Drosophila melanogaster: one gene and its partners. The protein of the gene in region 4 purifies or fractionates together with the protein of the main gene of each other region. This does not show direct contact. Each region holds a gene or a part of one and is shown on either strand. Other genes may lie near its edges. The genes, in order: kek6, wek, spz5 and Toll-6.

Region 1 (5,034 bases), on a different chromosome or scaffold from region 4:
TTCTACATCGGTTTTAATTATACAAATGCAAATGCAGACGAATCCGTCCGACTTTCCAGTTAAGTAAACGGCAGGAGCTTACGGTTTTCGCCTGAAATCGATTCCCCAATCATAACTACAAGTGGCTATAATCACCTCGTCCGGCGGACAACGATTTTAACAATTGCCCAACCACTCGGACTTAAACCCATCGGTTGTTGGTTGCCGGTGGTCGGTGGTCGGTGGTCGGTTGAATGGCCAACGGCACCCGTGGTCCTGGCCATTAACTATGCAAATAATGTGCGGGATATAGACAAAATCGCCACAAGATTAATGCTTATTGATTTTCCCGGCCAGCGATAATTTGTTAGCACGCCAAATTGGCCGACAGTCGAGCGCCACTGAGTGAATGCGATTTTTCTGGCTTACTTTTCTATTTTGGGCAAAGCCATTCGAAGAATTTGATAAGCCCCTCTTGGAATTTTTCAGGACCCCAACCCCCAAAAAGTTTTTGTGGGTATTTGCATTATTAAGTACTCGCACCGCTCCCCCGATTTTCCGATTTCTTGGTGGTCGCTCGCTTTGTGGGAAATGCGAAATGGAAGATGGAGGATGGAAAATGGGTGACGACGGGTCGGTCATCCATTGAGCCGAAGGTGTCACATTGCCGGGATTTGCTTATCAGACATCAAAGGACACCTTGCGGTGCCATCGTTCCCAGATCGTTGCCATTGCAACCCGCAAACGAGAATTTGGCATGCGGAGGAGGAGGGGCAGGACTCACTGCCAAGTTTACGCATCCCTTGAAATTTTGGCTCCAGCCGAGGGAACTTACTTTCAGGTTTGTATAAATATTTTCGCTGGCTTGTTTGTCTGGTTTCGTCTGTTTAGCATTTCGGAATATTAATTAAAACAAACTTTCGGGGAATGTGAGCATTATTAAAAGGAAAGCTTACGTGAGCTGCCTTCTTCGGACTTTTTAGCCACTTCGAATCAGTTTTTGTATTTGTAAAAATGGTGCACATGAAAAACATTGAAATCTGTTTTGTTATGGAAAAATCTGGCTAAGTAAAAAAGAGCTTTGGCCACAAAGCCACAAAATGGCAAAGCAAGATTTAAATGCCTTCAAGTTGAAAGCATTTTGGGAAGGCAATTAAGGGCAAATCCTTGCAGATAAACGTATTTGCCATTTGTCTCAGCTAGAACTTAAACGAGTATTACTTTCAACTCAGTTAACAGACACATCAATTGGAATTAGGAAAACATAAAGCAAGGGTCTCTATAATCGATTTTTGGCACAGTTACTAGGTGTAAATGGGGAAGAAACTTTTACTCGAACCCAACATTCTTGCATCCAATGGATGTTGTCAACCCGAATTGAACGAAACTTAGAGAAATTTTGTTTTTTTATATTGAAGAAGGAGGCGAACCCATCGGAAGCCCGGAAAAGAAAATGTATTAGAAAGGGTCTATAATTCGTCTGTTTCCTCAAGAAGTCCTTGAAAGGAATCCCCAAAATGGAAGCCTGCGGTCCTGGGCAGCATTACCTGGATTTACTTAGCACAACTTCAAAGGAAGGACACTTTCTCCCGCGGGAAGTGGCGCTCCCCCAATTCGTCCTCACTCCGCCCGACTTCTTATTTACTCTTCATCTCTTTATTTCACCGAAATTAGCTGGAAGTGAAAACGAAACCGAAACAGCAAAAGAAATAGAAACTAAACGAATATCGAGCGGCAACAAAGCCATCGCCAAACGCAAAGCAGAACAGACCCCATCCCATCCCATCCAATCCCGAAAACCCGGCCAGACCGAAGTCAACCTACTTTTGGACGCAACAGACTACGCCAGAGCCGAGCGAGTATCCTATATGTGCCATGTAAGTGCACAAGGAGAAAAAGCTGGCAGCTTCGCTCTGTGGATTACTCTGCCAATATTTACTCAACCCTTCCTGTTGTTTTGCGGCGCCATAAAATTCCCAAATATTGCAATTCAATTAACACACGCCTACAGATACATATGTATATGCCATTATACGATAATGTAAGATAAATAATACCGCCTCTCCTTGTGAAAAAGGATGTGGATTTGGGGTTTGAAGAGCCGATACCCCATTTCCATTTGAGCCGTAGGGATTTATTTGGGAACACGTTGGATGGAAATTCACAAAATTGCACAAACTCCAAGACAATGACCGTAAAGCACAATTCCACCATCAATTTTTCAGTCCAAAATAAAGTAGTATCCACTTTTTTCTGCCCGTGCACGAGTTCATTCGGTATGCGCCCAGATGGCAAGCGTGGAGTGGGTTTTTCGGGCAGACGGGCAGGCGGACGGCGAGGAGGACGTGTGGCACGAGGGGGACAAACGGGCGCCCTGCGGCGGATTATTGAATTTTCCAGCATTCTCCGCTGACACTTGGCGCCTAATGCGCTACCGCTTACCTTCGCCTACTGCTGTTGCTCCAGTCCTTGTTGCTGCTACTGGCTTGCTCCTGCGTCCTGCGTCCTGCGTCCTCCGCCTTCTGCTGCTCCGGCGGCTGCTGCTTACCGATTCACTGGCTCTGACGGAAATTCCAATGGAATTTGGCATAATTTACATATCTCCGAGTGCTTGGGCCAAGCGGGCCAAATGCATTGGACACGGTGTACAGGAGTGCGTGTGTGTACCCGATTTTCCGTTTATTTTCCGAGTGCTCCGTCTTTCACCGAATATCCGCACTTTTTTCCCAGGCCCGATTTCTGGGCCGCTGGGCGAAAAATCAAAAACGGCGCGCGTGTCGTACCGCTTGCTACATCCACTGATTTGACGCGCGACCCACGCACTTGCAACACGCGACACACGAGCACCGGGAATCGAACGTCGAGAGTCGAGAATCGAGGAACTGGGGGGCTATGAAGTTGGTTTTTTTGGGGGCACCGAGGGATGAGGGGGCAACTAAGATGAATGTCAATAAAAATGATTCTGCTCTGCACTGCAGTTGGCCTTTTTTCAGCTGTACCACCGAATTCACCTCTTGGCTTTCTGTTTTTCTCCCCGTTTTTTTTTTCGGTCTGTCCCGAGTTACTGTGATTCAATTACAAATCCCAGACGAAAGTCCTGAGGATAGGAGCGCCGGGAAGTGGTTTTCTCGCCACGCGAAGAATCCGTACTGAAGATACAGATATGGCCTGCGAATTGGCAAGTCAGAACTCGCCACAATTCATCTCGCAGCATGGCTGCTGCGCAAAATCCGGGATCTGCGCCTGCGCCGCTCTCCCGCGCTCTCTCTCTCGGACTTTCTCTCTGCGACTGTCTCTCCGCATTCTCCGTGGTGGGTATGTGTGTGTGCCACGCTCGTTGGAATGCTATAAAAAAGGAAACGTTAGAATGAAATGAAAATGTAGCATAATTTATGACTGCATCGTCTTTTAAATAATTGCACGCACACACACCTACGAACCTACACCCTGCCCACCGCCTTAAATATTAACATCCACTCACCTAACGACCGACCGCCTAAAAACACCCGAGAATCCTAATGGCCATGTAAATATGCATTTTTTTATATTCCATACGACTTTTTAAAATGTCTTCCAAATTGGTTACGGGTCAATGGTGTTTGAACGTTCCAAGAATGAAAGCGATACGAGAAGATTTACGAGGAAATTTGATAAACAAATCATGAGCAAATAATTGTCCTGCTGTCTGCCCAAATGAATAGTTGTCAAATACTTAAGAACTCTACTTTTTTAATTGGTATTGCAGATAAAGATCTTAGACGAACATCTCTATACTCAAATATAAAGGACTGCGTTTTTAATAGTATTTTATTCAAGCTTATATTATACAAGTGAAATTGAACCCCTAATCTTAGCTATTGCAAGCATGAACTACTTATATTTGGCAAATTTAGTGATGAATTTACCTTAATGTAAAACCACTTGATAGGCAATTGTTCTTCATTTTTGGCCACTTGCTAAAGCCACTTCAGATTAACCAGCTCAGATAGATGAAGCCGATTTGAAATCAGTTCGTATGCCTCTAGAGAACGCGTCGTTGTTGTCATTAGCTTTTCGAATATGGAAATGGGTGGGTAACTAAGAGACTAGGAGGTTGTCATGCACTACTAGAGAATCAATGTTGGCGAGAGAGATGTGTGTTTCCCAATCAAAGTTCCACGTTGTTCAAATTGGACCCGGAGGAAGTGGGCAGATCGACGTCGCTTGGCGGCACAAAAGTGCCCATGGTTAGGACGCTCTCCTGCTTGGCACACAGTTTCAACATCTCGGATTTAAGTTTGTCCAGTATGGCGTAGTTGGGTTGGTTGACTGCCGCCTTGCTCTGCAGCACGGTGATCTCCTGCTCCTCCAGCTTCTTCTCCTTGAAGGTCTTTATGGAGTTGTTGCCGTAGAGGCGCAACAAGGAACCCCAGGTCTGGATGTGCGGATGCAAAATCTGACGAAAGGTTAACTCAATAGCTATAAGTAAAGTTATAAAGAAATATCAATGCTCACCTGGAGGATTGCTTGCGAAGCCAACTGCTTGCCCTCCCGCTTGTTTTTACACACCACTTTGGCAGTATGTTTGCCCACGGTCATGGTAAACTCGTTCTTGTTATTCGCGGTGCGGTTGATCTCCTGGCTGATCTGAACATCGCTGCCGTAGTTGCGCTGCAAGCAAGTCAGCAGAATGGCGTTGGGAGATGGCTCCGTCGTCTTGTTGCAGAATTCGGTGACTCGGGGATCTTCGATGCGGATGTCATCGAAAACCTGCAAGAAATATAAAAATAAGAAGTGGTTCCATTTTCTATAGGTAGATTGCTTACAGACAGATCGCTCTGCGCTTTCTTCGCAGTGCCGCTCTTTTGGTCCTTATTGTTGCCCGTTATCTTGTCCTTGACATCGGGAATGAGTATTTCCAGCGTTTCCCGAGCCGCCTCTGACTTGGCCTGCTTTTTACTGGTGCCATAGCCCGTGCCATACTTGAGATTGTTCACCGATACGGTGGCGGAGTAAGGCGTGGCTGCGTTTTGGAGCTCCTTGAACTCATAGGTGGGCTGCGTTTTCAGAGCATGC
Region 2 (4,619 bases), on a different chromosome or scaffold from region 4:
TCCTCGCTGCAATGCGACGTTGTGCAGCTTCAAGGAGGCACTGCATACCGTCTTCAAGGTGACCAACCGGCGACCCTGGGTGTGGAACGCAAAGCTGAACATCGGCAGCAAGATCTCCATTAGCCTGCAGGGCATAATCGCCATGAAGAACCAGACGCCCGTAAAGCTGGTAAAGGTCTGGGCGGAAAAGGATGAGATAGTGATACGGGAGACTCGTCATTATATCAAAGGCACTGAGATCACCCCGCTGCCGGAGAATCTGATAACCGGTTACATGCTGGGCGGCACTCCGGTGCCATACGACGAGGCCGTGCTAGAGCCAAAGGAACCACACCCACCTGGTCTCCACTTCTTTGGCTTTATCAAAAGAAATGCCGTGCCGGATGAGTACTTTTGTGGCGAGTCCTTGTACCTCCTGGTGCATCAGAAGCACAATCAATCTGCCGCCGTGAAGCTGGACGCTCTGGTGCGTGCTCTCGTTTCTTCGGATCGGGCCATACTGTGCTGGAAAATATATAGCACCAAGTTTAATAGACCGCAAATGGTTGTGCTACTGCCCCGCTTAGCAGACGATACCCATCCGGCTACTTTGTATATGCTGGAAGTTTCCTATACGTCTCAGCACCACTTCTGGGACTTTCCGGCACTGCGAACCACCAAGACGGAGTGCAGCGAGGAACAGCTGAATGCCATTGATCAGTTAATCGATAGCACCGATCTGGAGTGCACACTGCGGGACACGCAGCAGCCACGTCCGTGGGCGCAGAATGATCTGCTGCCGTTCGACGCACTTCCCAGCATCTTTGAGCAGAATGTCATGGACATCCTAGAGCGAAAAGTTATCTATGATAACGACAAGGAAGACAAAATGCTTAAGGACAAAAACTTCGCAGATGTATTCTGGCGAGTGCCAGATCCCTTGGAGGAGAAGTCAAAGAGAGCGGCAGCCATCGTAAAGAAGCTATTTCCATTGCGCTATAGTCGCGCCTGGCAGGAAAAGCTGTTGGCCAAGGAGCAGGCAGAGAATGGTGTGGCAGTCAAGTCGGAACCAGCGGAGAAGGAAATCCCGTTGCCATCAGACGGTGTGGGCTTAATTGATCCAATCTCTGATTTCAGGCGAGTCCTGGCTAGCGTTCACACAATCAGTAATGCCACTGAGCGAGATGCCCGCTTTCAGGCGCTGGCTGCCGATACCCGCGTGGTGATCATCACACTGCTGCAGCGCAGGAAACAGAACATCGGGCAACTGGGCGAGCTCATCACCCTGTACCGACAGAGCTGTATAGACTTCAACACCTTTTTGGAATACGACAAGTTCGCTGAGGAGCTGAAGAAGATCGCGCTGGCCAAGAATCGCAGCGAATTCTGGCAAGACGTTATGGTCGACAAGCAATTGGGCCCTTTGGTGCTTGGCGAGCCGACGCTGGACGACGAATTGGCTCTAAAAGCCTATTACACCATCGAGAATTGGGTGGAGAGTGGGGCGAACGATATGGAAGACGTTGAGATGTAGTTTATCATTCCATTTTGTTATATTAAGCAAATGTGCTAAAATTAGTTTTTGTTATACACAGTTTTTCTTATATGTAAGTCGAAAATAAATTATTATATTGTTTATATATATATACCAGAGTAAAAACTCGGTCGCATGTTTTAAAAACAACATTATATCCCTGGGAAACCACATCCAAATGATGATGATAATACATCTCTATGTTAATAAACATCGACACGCAGGAAGGAAAACGTTAGTAATACTTCTTATGATTGAGAAAAAAAAGTAAAATAAATACAATTTTCAATTCCAAATTTAAACTGAATACTTTTTGAAAATGGCGGCAACAACTTGTTGTTTTGCACTTATCGATATTTCCAAAAATCATCGGAGTGCGCATACCAATTAATCGATTCGGAATTCCGCTCCATACAGCTGATTTTAATCAGCGCTTTGGCAATAGAATTTAGTCAAAACCCGAGGGCATACTGTACCAAACTGTGGGGCTTCTGTTGAGGATTAGCCATGGGAGTTCCCACAAGCGATTGGATATACTGGTGTCGCCTGTGCGCCCGCGACGACGTTGTATACAAAGTGCGCGAGCGGGACGACGATCTGGTTAGGATTATCAGCAAATGCTTTGATGTGGAGGTATGTTATTCGTTTTCCCAGCCTACAGATAGCTTATACATTAGTTTTCCACACACGCAGATGACCCTCGAGGAACCGGAACTGGGCAGCATGTTGTGCGAGGAGTGCTACTCGGTGATTGGCCAGCTGATCACCTTCTCGGATAGCGTTTCCAAAGTACAAGCCATTTTTGAGCTTCTGCGACACTCGGAGCCGCAGGATAGCCAGGACTTGGACGCCCTGCGTCTGGAATACGGCCTTCCGCCGGCCTGCAAGCAGGACCTCGAGTTCCTGGACATAGACGATACGGAGGATAGGTGTTCCTTGGTAGAGGAGCTAACGATATCAGACCATTCCACATCTCCGTCACCCGATTTTGAAGCACAGACCGTGCGAACACGAGCTAATCTCAAACAGTGTAATTCCGATCCCAAAGTGCTAGCCTCACCTACTGCATCAATTCCTGAAGTTGAAACAAAACGAAGTCGCCGACAGCAGTTTGCGGCTAAGCGAAATTCCAAAGTGTACACTGCAACCGAGTCGGATGATGAGGAGGCCATTCTAGACGAAGACGAGGCCGTATCCCCGCCGCCTTTGAAGCGAAAAAGAGGCAGACCCAAGGGCTCAGGCAAACAGAAAAACGTGGACGACAGCGATAACGTAACTTCCCGCGAACCAGACGACAATGCTAAATCCAAACAAGATGACAAGACATCCGAATTGAGCATGTCACCCCATGGCTCCCAGAGTTCGAATTTCGTCGATTATCCCTGCAAAATCTGCAACGAAACCTTTATGTCCTTCATGGCTCTGCGCAGGCACAAGCACGACATGCACGGCGGTCCGAAGAAATACGTTTGCGATCACTGCGGAAAGGGTTTGAAGACCTTCACATCGCTGGTGGAGCACCAGCTGGTTCACACGGAAGAGAAGCCCTGTATATGCCCCGTCTGCAATGCTGGTTTTAAGAACAAAGCTAGGCTGAGAGTAAGTCATCGAATAATCTTGTGGACCAACTAAATCTTGAAATTTGTATACAATTTCCAGGTGCACAGTCAGACACATGGTGAGCCCAAGTTTGAGTGCAATGTCTGCGGCAAAAAGCTGCAGACACGGGCGATTCTTAACAAGCACAAGTATGTGCACACGGATGAGCGGCGCTTCAAGTGCGAGGTTTGTGGCAGCGGCTGTAAGAACTCCACGGCCTTGAAGATCCATCTCCTTGGACACACCGGCCTCAGACCCTACGTATGCAAGTACTGCGGAAAGGCGTTCGCCAGCAACACCAACTGTCGCTCCCACAAATGGAAAAAACATCCGGAACTGGCGTCCAAGGAGGATGAAACCGAATCTTCACGTGTTCCAGTGCCAACATTGGAAGAACTGAGAGCGATGTAAGCTATAGTCATGCATATTATTATTATTAGCTTACTATTGTACTAAATTTTTGGTTTGCAGAACTCGCGAGATGGCCAAGGCCAAACAGGATTAGACCATGTTGGTTGACAAAAATGTATAAATAGCAGTGCGCAGTAAAATTTTATCCCAGAGACATTTACATTTACACTTAATTAAACACACAACTGCCCTTTTTGCATTTAAATTGGTTTTTAATAAGTTTCAAAATAAATTCACTTTTTAAACGCACACTTAAATTGGGAAATGTGTTCACACATGAAAATGACATTGTATAAAAGATAATAATTGTTTGACTCACAATGTAGATTTAAAAATAACAATTGTAATTTGTGACACCAAATTATGCGTACACTTTGAAACACTCAATTGAAACTCCTGTGAGCGGTTGCAGCATATTTTAAAGATGAGCGCTATTCATAGAACTCCCACGCATGGTTCACTAGATTGCGACAAGTTGGTCTGTAGATAATTCCAAGGGCTTATTCACAATAAAATCAGTTTGAAATTATAACTCAGCAAATGTAAATGCTTCGTGCTAACACCAGATACATTGACACCTAATTAAACACACAACGGCCCTTTTTGCATTTAAGTTGGTTTTTTTTTTAATAATTTCAAAATACATTTACAATTTAAACGCACACTTAAATTGGGGAATGAATGAATGGCATATTGATCACCTATCAATATTTTGTGCCACAACTCGGTGATAAAATAGTAAATATTAAGCGATTAAATAATAAAAATGTAACAAGAGAAAAAAATATAAGGAACAACTAAATTAATACAAATTAGATCATTTGTGAGTGGGTCTCTGTGTAGGATAAATATCTAAACATGTTTTGATTTCGATGGTTTCTCTTTAATTACTTGCTGTTTAGGTTAACACGTTGAGAAGCAAAATATTTTGGCATGGCCTTCCTCCAAACCGAGCAGAGTCAATAAATAGTGCATCCAAGTAGGTTGGCTCTCTATCCCTTCCACCTTCACTCACTCCTAGTCAATGTTCAGCGAGGACATTAACTCTTCGACGCTGCATGGAAATAGAGGAAAGAAAAAATCATGTTGATTAAAC
Region 3 (5,038 bases), about 12 Mb from region 4:
ACTCACCACATAGGTAAGAAGAACTTGTTTACAACTAAAGGGGGGCGGACGTTTAATACTTTTTGTCATTGTCAATTCATTCGCCGTCGATTTGCATTTGCATTTGACTCGATTGCGATTCAGCCAGTGTCTTCAACGTGAATTCGGAAACCTGAAGCGAAAGAGAAACTGCCATGAGTTATTTGGTCAAATATTAGTCGCAAAAAAATGGCAAATACACGACCATTTCTCGCACCATTTCCATTGGGACACGAAACAGACAATAAGTGATGGTTTTTCCGCAGCGGAAATGCTTCAAAGTGCTTATTTGTTGCCCACAGTTCACTTGGGCTTATTGTTAAGTTAAACAATCAACAACTAAAACAATAACACAAACACGAACTACACCACCGACAGCCTCTTGAGCAAACAACAGCCAAACAACTCGAACAACTCCCGTAAATAGCGAAAATAAATTGCCAAAAGTGAAAGTGACGAACAAGCTCCAGACAACAAGATTAAGTATACGCAGATTAAGTATACGCCGCGAAGATAATGGACTGGACACGCCCCATGCATTGTGGGGGCGTTCTCAATTGGCGACCCGAGCTGTCAGCTAATGACAATACTTATAAACTCTAATGATTTATTAGGACTCTAAAACGGAATTTCAATATGCCGGTATTTAAATCGGATGTTTTATAGACAATTTAAGTTTAGATCAATGCAAGATATTTTGCATATTTAAAGTGATATATTACCAACTGTTGGAGAGAATATATATATAATAATACAAGCAGTTTTTATTGCGGAAACTATGAGATAACTTTGACTAGATTTCGATAGTTAGCAATGCTTTTATATGAACAAGAAGCTCAAAGAAAAATTCCCAACATGTTTCCCGTATGAAATCAACTTTTAAAATCTGGGAAAATTAAAAATCCCGTAATTAAATGTTAATTAACAGCTGACATAACTAACGAAAGTGAGCTAAAAATTAACAAAAAATGTTATACAAATATTTTAATTATTATAATGTAACAATGCTAACAAGTGATCAAATCTAAAGCTGTCACAGTCAATGGTAAAAACCGGATTTCGTGTCAAGTTTTGCTATAGTTTCAATATAATGTGTACCACAATTATTTATAGAACAAAAAGCAATAACAATTGCCTTTAACACTCAGACATGGGGTGCCTGTAAAAACAGCGAGCATTCAAGAATCAATTGGAATTTATACCGATACAAAAACACCTGCCACAAGCTGCGATAGGATTTCCGGGATCACAGGCTCTTTTGCACGAGCCAAGCAAAACAAATCAGTCAACAAACAAGAGCCAATGACAAAGTGTCCGTCAAGGTACACAGGAAATAATTATATTAATAATATTAAAAATGAAAAAATAAAGAAAACAATTATAATAAATGAACATTCACGGCATATTAAAGTATCAAACAGAAGTTTGAAACACAAAATGTTGTTTAGTAGTTGAGCTGGGCTTTAAATGCTTATACAATTTTATATATACATATAATAACACATATTTCTCTGAGATTAAAATAGCTTAGGTATTTTGAAACCACGTTTCCAACCATGTTTTCTGCTGTGCATCGAAGCCAGATTTAGTGTCTGCGATCTGCTAATGGAGTCTTGCACATGGCTACACCCACGTATTGCTGGTATTTCCCCGATGCCAAAGTTGCGCCAGGCGATCACCTCATAAATCACAGAGCAGCCAAAAGAAGTTGGACATGGGTTTTGGCATTGTTTCCCTTGGCAACTTTAGTGGCAGCGTGTTTTATGGTGTGTTTTGGGCCATTTGCACATCATTAGGCCGACGGGCCAAAAGTTAATGAAATTGTTAAAGATCTTTGACCAAGCTTTAGCGGCTAATCCATTGGCTGCGGCATCATTTTCGAAATTGAGTGCTCAAAATCGCTGGGCCCCATTCAATTTATTTGAATGATTTGGCCGCAAAATCATCTATCTATATTTAATTAATTATATCCCGCCTGAGTAATGATCGATTGTCAGATCTTTATCTTTGTCTCGCCCAGACATTCTCACTTATTCACCCGATTGGCACTTTTTTAAGGGGATAAAATATTTTGTTGGCATCTAATTGAAGCATTAGCAGGCTAAAAAAAAGAGCTGAATGAAACGAAATGCTGCTAATTAATTATAAAGCTATTTAATAATAATGATTGCTTATTAAGTTTTTATTACGCGAGTGTTTGACACAGGAAAGTTTTAAGCTCTCTAGTTTATTTAATTGGTAAACTTGTATACTTTCCACAATATCTATCCTTACTTCTATCCATTAAATAAACTATCAAAGAGACAGACTTCTGCTTCGGGCATTTTTTCCAAAGCCTCTGAATTATTTTCCTTCACAAAGAGGTTGGGTTATTTGAAGCTAATTTAGGGACTAAAACAATGGATTCGATTGGAGGCAGACAAATAGCTGAGCTTCATTATAATTTTTTAAACATATATTTTATGCCTGCATTTAGCTAAGAAATTAAGCACGACTTTTCAAGGTTTTTTCTCCCCACTTGATTATATTTTGTTTGTATTTACCCAAAGTGTTGTCTGCATTTTTTGTGGATTTTGTTTTGTGATCGCTTTGATTTAATTTGTGTTTGCTGGTTTCCTAACATTTTGGTTACAAGTGTATACAAAAAGAAGGAAAACAATCAAGCGTTATAATAAATCAGAGCTGCGATGACGAACCAATGAAATTTATTAACTTATGGCGGGAATTAAAGTATTCAATTTAATAATTACTCACCTAGTGTGCGGCTTGTAGATTTGTTTGGGTTTTTGCTTCACAGTATTTGGCAAATGTTTTTGATCACTATGTGCACTTTTGTCGAGCTTAGCTATGCTCTTTGTATTTCAGTGAAATATTTTCTCTTTTTTTGCCACCGAACACTCACTTGAAAATTCTACTAATTAAAAAACTTAACACGTACCGAAGAGCGCGGATATTTCGGTTTTTGGACTTTAGGTTTTCGATTTCGATTTCGTTTTCGTCTTTTCCGTTTCACGCGTTTGCCAATGCTCACGGCGGCAGCTCGTAGCCAACTGAGCGGTCTTAGCCAAGTTAACAGCGGCCCAGAGCCGCAAACTCGGGAAAAGAGGCAGAGAAAAGCAGAGCTTGGGTCAGAGCAGAGCTATATAGCAAAAGATATAGCCGGCTCTGATCTCCCAGGCTAATCTCTCAATTTAGCCCGCTCAACTTTGAACTTTTTGGCCCGTGATTCATGTCGTTGGCCACATAGTATAATGTGATATGTGGTGCGGTTTTCTTTTTCTTTTTTGGCCCGATTCAAGACCGGAAGTCCAGTGGTTCGGGCCATTCGATATGACGTGGGCCTTATTTATTGACCACTTTTATTGTTTATTTTACATTGTCGCCAATATGCGAACTGCAATAAAGTGAATTTATTTAAATTGTTAATTTTTCTGCTCGCCAATTGTTGTTCGTCGTTGCCGCCGGTTTTGGCCCATAGATACGGCGCATTGTTCGGGCGATGAATTTGGATTTTTATGGCCAATGAAGGTCAGTTAACAGCTTTTATCTGTCGCAGATTTGTGACTGCTGCCGTTGATTTGATTTGGCGCTGCCTCCGGCACAGACATTGAATGTTGGCAAGAAAAGGCTTTTAATGGCCAAGACCACGCACAATTGTAGGAGTTACCTCCGATTTTGTCTCTCGTCGAAGGCATTTAAATCAATTTTGCGCGTTGCCAAAGCTGGAATTATGGGTAATATTTCAGCACAGGTATATTGGGAATTATTTTTTTTTTTTTCATTCCTAATAAATATTTACAATACTTTTTAACCAAGAAGAAAGCGCTGAGCAGTAATTTCTCTGTCAATTTATTTTAAAGTATTGAATATGCAATATGTGTGTACATAATTAGAAAAAAACAAATAAATTTAATTTTTAAAAAGGTTGAAAGAGATGTATACCGTAAAATAGTTTTAAACTATCAAAGGCCTAAATTATTTTTATGGTTCAAAGTATAAGCCAAATAGACCGAAATATATCTAGTAAGATTTTCAAGATTTTCAGAAAATGAAATGAATTATTTAAATTCGATAATTAGTGATAAAAATGAGTATGGTTACATGATTTACTCACTGGGTATCCAGTTAGTCCACTCTCCGCAAACTCGAACATTATTTATGTTTACAGCTGATTGCCAATAGCAAGAGATTTGCACTCTCAAATCTTCCGAGGCGGTTTTGGAATTTTATCCGTCGCCTTGGGTGCTTCATCGTTCAATTTTGGTTTCTTGGCTCCAATTTTGCACAACTTTCACAAAGACGAGACCTAGACAGAAAAGTACGGGAAAACCCTCGCCGAAATCACAATATGGGGCTCCAAGCTCTTATCGAAAATGGTTTTTAATGCGTTTTTAAGTCAAATTAGTGACTTCATCAGTCTGCCGGCCGAGCAGGCTCAGATTCGATTTGAGATTCACTTAAGCCGCTCATTAATCAAACTCCGAGCCCAAGGTATCGGGACCAAAGGTATCATTTTATACCTAAAACTATCGCGGCTACATATGTATATAACACGTGGAGGGGCCACTCCCCCAACTTCCCACCGCCGTTTTAAGGCTTAGCTGCAATTGCGAAAGGGTTAATTAGGGGCTGGGTCCACCAACTCAATGCCGCCGGTTGGCCAATGAAACCATTAAAGCCGTCGATTGCCCTGGGCAATTTGTACCTCTTTTCCATTATTTTTGGCCCACTAGCTCGCCGAACATCACCCGCTGCCCGTGACGTAATGGCTAAAGGTGCTTAGGGTCGATCCGCTTAAAGATCGGCCTATTTTATGAAGTATCTCCTCTAAACCAAGAAACGTATCGGAACCGCCTCGAAAACGCTAGAAAAACTCGGTCGTTTCGCCTTTTGGTTGTGATCTTCGATTGCTAGCTGACAGAAGCTAAGTAATATTACACAAGTTTGTTTATTTATTGTTTATATGTTGATTAAAAACCCGGACCAATTTTACTAATTATCAATTTTAATACTCCAAATA
Region 4 (4,963 bases):
TGCAATTCGTGGGGCAGGTCATCTCGCAATCACAAGCATCGAACTCACAGCAATGGCAAACGGCGAAGCAATGGGTCTTGTAGGTGCACAAAAAGTGCTTGGGTTCAGCTTCGATCAGGGGAATATAGGCCCTCTCCCTGTTGTTCAGCAACTTGCAGTATATGGTCTCCAGATCCATAATCCTTGGATATTGCCTCGATGTTATATGGTTAATCTTCTGCAGCCAATCAATGTTACAATCGCAGGTGAAGGGATTTCCACCAATATAGAACTCTGGCAGAGCTCGATGTTCCCAAACTGGCAGAATCCTCAAGGACTTGATGTCCAGCGTTGTGATTTGGTTCGCATAGAGATCCACCCGGGTCAGATTGGTTTTGTGCATAAAGGTATCTGGATCAACGGTGGTTATCAGGTTGTCGTTCAGGAACAGCAGTTCGATAGAGTTTGGTATGGAACTGGGTCCAATGCGCTGAAGTTGATTAAAGCTCACATCGAGAGTTTGTAGTTTTAGCTCACTATCCAAACCAAAACGATTTGATAAGGAACTCAACCGATTCTTATGGAGGTCCAGCCACTGCAGGGTGGATGGCACATGTCCATAATCAAAGGATTCCAAACGATTATCGGATATATTCAGCCACAGAAGGGAGGGCATGTTGCTGAAGAGGCCATTGATGTCATTCAGCTCATTGCCATCCAAACGCACAGCTTGAATGCTCGAGGTCATCTCAAAGGCCCCCGGTTCCACAACTGCTATGCGGTTTCTGGCGAGATTCAGGATTTGCAAATTAGGCAGATCCCTGAAGGTGTGCATCGTAATATTCTCCAGGTAGTTGCCAATCAAGCGGAGACCATAGAGATTTCCCAGACCTTTAAACGCACTATCCTCCATAACGGTAATCATGTTCTCGCCCAGATCCACGGTTCTCAAATGGCGCATATTCCTCAGGGCCAGCGGAACTGTCTTCAGCTGATTGCCATTCAAGTTGAGGTCCTGCAGGGCACTGCAGTTCCGGAAGGCATCCGGATGCACGCCAATCAGCGCATTATTGTCCAGCGAGAGCAGCGACAGTACATACAATCCGTTCAGAGCATATGCATCCAGATACTTCAGTTTGTTGTGCGACAGCAGCAGCGTGTGCAGATTATTCATCGGGGCAAAAGTGTCGGCTGCGATGTTCTCCAGCTGATTGTGACGCAGATTAAGAATCTGCAGGGTGTACAAGTCGCTGAAGATCTCTGGCTCCAGTTTGGTCAACTTGTTGTGCGACAAATTAAGCAGAACCAGACGAATCAGACCCACAAAGGTGTTCTTATCGATCCAGGTGGAGGTTATCTGGTTCATGGACAGGTCCAGGGCCTGCAGCTGGTCCAGATTCGAGAAGAGCTGCGGATTCAGCACACTTATGGAATTATTCTGCAGGTACACCTCTTGGATAATCTTGGCTTGCTCAGCGAAGAGTTCTGTGGGCAAGGCCACGATTTTGTTGGAGCTCAGGTTCAGGATCTGCAGGTTCTTCAGTCCACTGAGAGCCTTGTCCGCAATCATGGAGATGCCATTGTTGTTGACCGAAAGGACTCGCAGCCTCCTCAGAGTGCCAAATCCATTTGCTGGCAGCACGACGAAATCATTGTGGCTCACATCCAGGTACTCCAGGTCCAGCGAACAACTGGTGCTTGAGCTACTGCTCTTTTTGGCCGATTCGGTGGTGGAGGTGGATTCGGTGGAACCATTGGTTGGCTCCTTGCTGCGATCCCTGAAGCCCAGCTCGTTGACGTCCTGCAGGCGATTCTCGCTCATGTTCAGGGCAGACAACTCGGACAGGGTGCAGAATATGTTATCCGGCAGGGACCAGATGTTGTTCGAACTGAGGTCCAGTCTCTCCAACCTCCGAGTGACCGAGAAGGCATCCGCTTCTATCTCGAAATTCAGCGCTGGCCACAGGATGTTGTGCGTCCGGAGCGTCAGGTTCCTCAGCTGCTCCAGACCATCCAGAACCTGGCGACCCAGTCGCCCCAGCTTGCAATACTGGATGGACAGCTGCTGGAGCCTAACCAGATGGGCGAAAGATTGCGCCTCCAGGCGACTCTTGGCCATGATTTCGTCATTGCACAGTATGTGCAGGGCAATCGTGTGCTCGGCGGGTATAACACTGAAATTGGTTGTGTCAAACTCGCTGTTCACCGTGCGCAGGTTGCACGTTAAGGCTATTTCCGGCTGATCCAGACCCGCTGCTGGCATGAAGTGACAGTCGTCGGGGGCGTCATACAGCGAAGGGTCACCACCCGCGCCCGCGGTCAAGGGTCGCAGGGTTCGCGCCGGAGTCGAGGGCTGCATTAGCTGCGAGTTGGAGACCCCAGCCTCACCCATTATCGCATTCGAGTGCGACAGCTGCTGCTGCTGGTGGTGCTTGGTGGACAGCGATTCCGTGGTGTGCTGCTGATCCTGGGCCAGGACCACGGGCAGTATGAGTAGCATATAGTAGATCATTTTGGCGATTCACGGTTTAGCTGCGTGGAGGCACCGGAAAATGGGTTTGCGGAGGGGGGAAAGACGGTACAAGCGGGGGTCTTGGGGAGAAACGAAAAGAAAATCAATTCCACTGGCTGGCCAAAGAAAAGTCTGCGCACATATTTTCGGCTTCTGTGCTCCCTCTACTCCAAGCCAGATTTTCTTTATTTTCCCCCGATTCTTTAGTTAATTATGCTCTCCGTGTTTTCTTCTCTCTTACACCCGGCACATTTTCTAGCACTTGGCCTTTTCTATCCTCTTTATATTTAAATTTTTCTTTTTTATTCGTTTCGGCGCTTTGAATTACTCGCTTCGAAGTTTTTGTTTATTACACGTCGCGTTATAGGAACCTTTGATGAATTTCAATTTAGCTGCGGGCTCGACTTCTATTATCACTTTTTCATTTGGCTGAACTGAACCCACTTTTTCTGGGACTTGAGCGGTGCAGCAGCGTCGATATTTTCCGGTTCGTAATGTAACGCGCACGTTGGCTGATTTTCGACTGACTGCCGCAACGTGCGCAACTTCTCTTTTAAATGGAGAGTCGTCCACGAACTCGAAACCCCGAAAATCCGAAAAGCCGAACGCGAGCCGAAGGGGGCTGGAAAACAGACGAAGAGCAGCCGACAGGCTCTGCACGGGCGGGAAATGCTGAGAGTTTTCGGAGAGTATGACTAAAGGGAAATTCGCTCTGGCTCGACGGATGCTGGAAAATGTTTTTCTTTCTCTCCATCTAATCGCATCGAACAGCTGGCGTTCGTTCGTGTTTTCCTTTTGATTTTCTCTGTCTTTTTTCGTCGTATTTCGTATATCCTTTATTTTTTTGCCGCCGAATCGGAGATAGAGCTCCGCACCCCCCGCCGCCAACCGGCGACTTCTCTGCTGTCTCTGTTTTGATAATGAAAATATATGATGTGCATGGGCCAGCGCCAATCTTCATACAAACGTAATTTATTTTTATGCCATGTGCATGTGTGTGTCGGTGTGCCGAGAAGGTCCTTCGGCTGCTTTTTGCTCCTGTTTCGTGGGCCCAGACCCGTATAAAAATAATAATTCCTCACATTCCATTAAATTACAATAATAATTTTAATTAAACTGTTTTGTTTGCGCCTCATGTAACAATTCCTGTGGTTTCATGACTTCTTTTTCGCCCAGCAAAGCAGCAAAAAACTGTCTTCCCCATCAGGTTAATGATAATGATTATGGGCCAGCATTATGGGGTTTCGTTGGGCTTTGGATGTGTGGGGATTTCTGTGGATTCCTCGTTCTCAAATCCGGAAAGTTATGCAAGGACTTGGTTAGACTCGATTGGGAGATGCTGGAAATAGCAAATATGAAAATTCGTGAGCAGAGTTTTTATAAAAAGCTCCTTTTATAGGATATCTTAAATCGCACACTGCAAATTCAGATTTTTGTAGTTACTTAAATTTTGAATTATGTTATTGTCTTTTGGACTTAAATTAATATTTCTTTGAGATTAATTACACTTGGAACATTTTACTACTTCAAATAATAAATATACAATTTTTGCTTCACGCGCCTATGATTTTGATGAATGTATTATAATCTTACCTAAAGTAGTCCTGGTATCTCGAAAAAGAAATCAATCTATCAAGGAAATTTTCCAAGGGTTAATTTACAAAGAAGACTGTCTATTGTTCCTTATTTCGTTAACCTCCGGCATGTATGTATTTTGATTGTTCAATATTTGGGTGAAAGCAGAAATATTGATGGATCACCGCCAACAAATTCAATGGCGATTACCACGGCATGGTAACCTTGATAAACTTCGGGTCTTTCATGACTAATTCCCAAGAAAAACAGCTGCCCTGGACACTTTATCTTGGGCTAATATTTCTTAGCTGGCTTGAAAGTTTTCCCATATCCATGGGTGTTGTGGCTAAGGATCTTTTTGTCGCCACTAAAAGCAAACACAAAAACATTTTTGCCAAATTGCGTCAGCCAACAGAACGCCTCCCACCCATTTTTCGTGCTGGGGTAATGATTTGCCTAATGTTTCTAACAATTATGTGGCTTGGCCACACAAAAGAATATATTATGTAAGTTATTAAAATTATATCACCAGCAGGAGCAGCAGCAGAGCCACGAACAGCAGCCAAGTCTAATAAGCCTCCTGCACAGTGAAGAAAACTATTGCAGTTCAGTCTTAATTTGAGAGATTTTCTCAGTAAGATATTCGCTAAAAATATTAGTTATTTAGGCACATGATGTTTTTCTTTTACCAATTACTCTTGTACAGGGATGTATTACTGTTTTATTCACAAGATTTTCCTTCAGTGCACCCCTTATTTTACTCACCTTCAGGCTTTCGCAGGCTCTTTCAAATGTAAATGGCGGCAAGGACGAGGTTTTGTGGCTCGCTTTCCTTTGTGTGGTGGCACATGCAACCAAGAAGGAATATTTCTTCCCCGGCCTGGTATTCTTTTTTCG

The links.
Region 1: the proteins of Toll-6 (region 4) and kek6 purify together in Drosophila melanogaster (affinity purification with western blotting, with the first as the bait; one study listed by BioGRID). This does not show direct contact.
Region 2: the proteins of Toll-6 (region 4) and wek purify together in Drosophila melanogaster (affinity purification with western blotting, with the first as the bait; one study listed by BioGRID). This does not show direct contact.
Region 3: the proteins of Toll-6 (region 4) and spz5 purify together in Drosophila melanogaster (affinity purification with western blotting; one study listed by BioGRID). This does not show direct contact.

Annotation. Positions count from the first base shown.
Region 1 is NT_033777.3:31,620,210-31,625,243, reverse strand, and holds the start of kek6 (kekkon 6), read right to left. Parts: upstream 3,109-5,034; 5' UTR 2,422-3,108; intron 1-2,421. Other genes in the region: pasha (partner of drosha), read right to left, coding at 4,127-4,414, 4,474-4,728, 4,785-5,034.
Region 2 is NT_033779.5:15,765,633-15,770,251, reverse strand, and holds wek (weckle), read left to right. Parts: upstream 1-1,902; 5' UTR 1,903-2,020; coding exon 2,021-2,146; intron 2,147-2,206; coding exon 2,207-3,112; intron 3,113-3,172; coding exon 3,173-3,519; intron 3,520-3,583; coding exon 3,584-3,617; 3' UTR 3,618-4,119; downstream 4,120-4,619. Other genes in the region: Ku80, read left to right, coding at 1-1,513; CG3793 (uncharacterized protein), read right to left, coding at 4,541-4,577. UniProt on the Drosophila melanogaster protein: Acts as an adapter to assemble/stabilize a Toll/wek/Myd88/tube complex; required for efficient recruitment of Myd88 to Toll. Dispensable for innate immune response; plays a minimal role, if any, in the immune defense against Gram-positive bacteria and fungi.
Region 3 is NT_037436.4:2,889,095-2,894,132, forward strand, and holds the start of spz5 (spatzle 5), read right to left. Parts: upstream 3,073-5,038; 5' UTR 2,773-3,072; intron 152-2,772; 5' UTR 70-151; coding exon 7-69; intron 1-6. UniProt on the Drosophila melanogaster protein: Neurotrophin which may function as a ligand for the Toll-related receptors Toll-6 and Toll-7. Binds to Toll-7 and Toll-6, and probably acts as their ligands in the promotion of motor axon targeting and neuronal survival in the central nervous system (CNS).
Region 4 is NT_037436.4:15,334,753-15,339,715, reverse strand, and holds the start of Toll-6 (Toll-6), read right to left. Parts: upstream 3,025-4,963; 5' UTR 2,492-3,024; coding exon 1-2,491.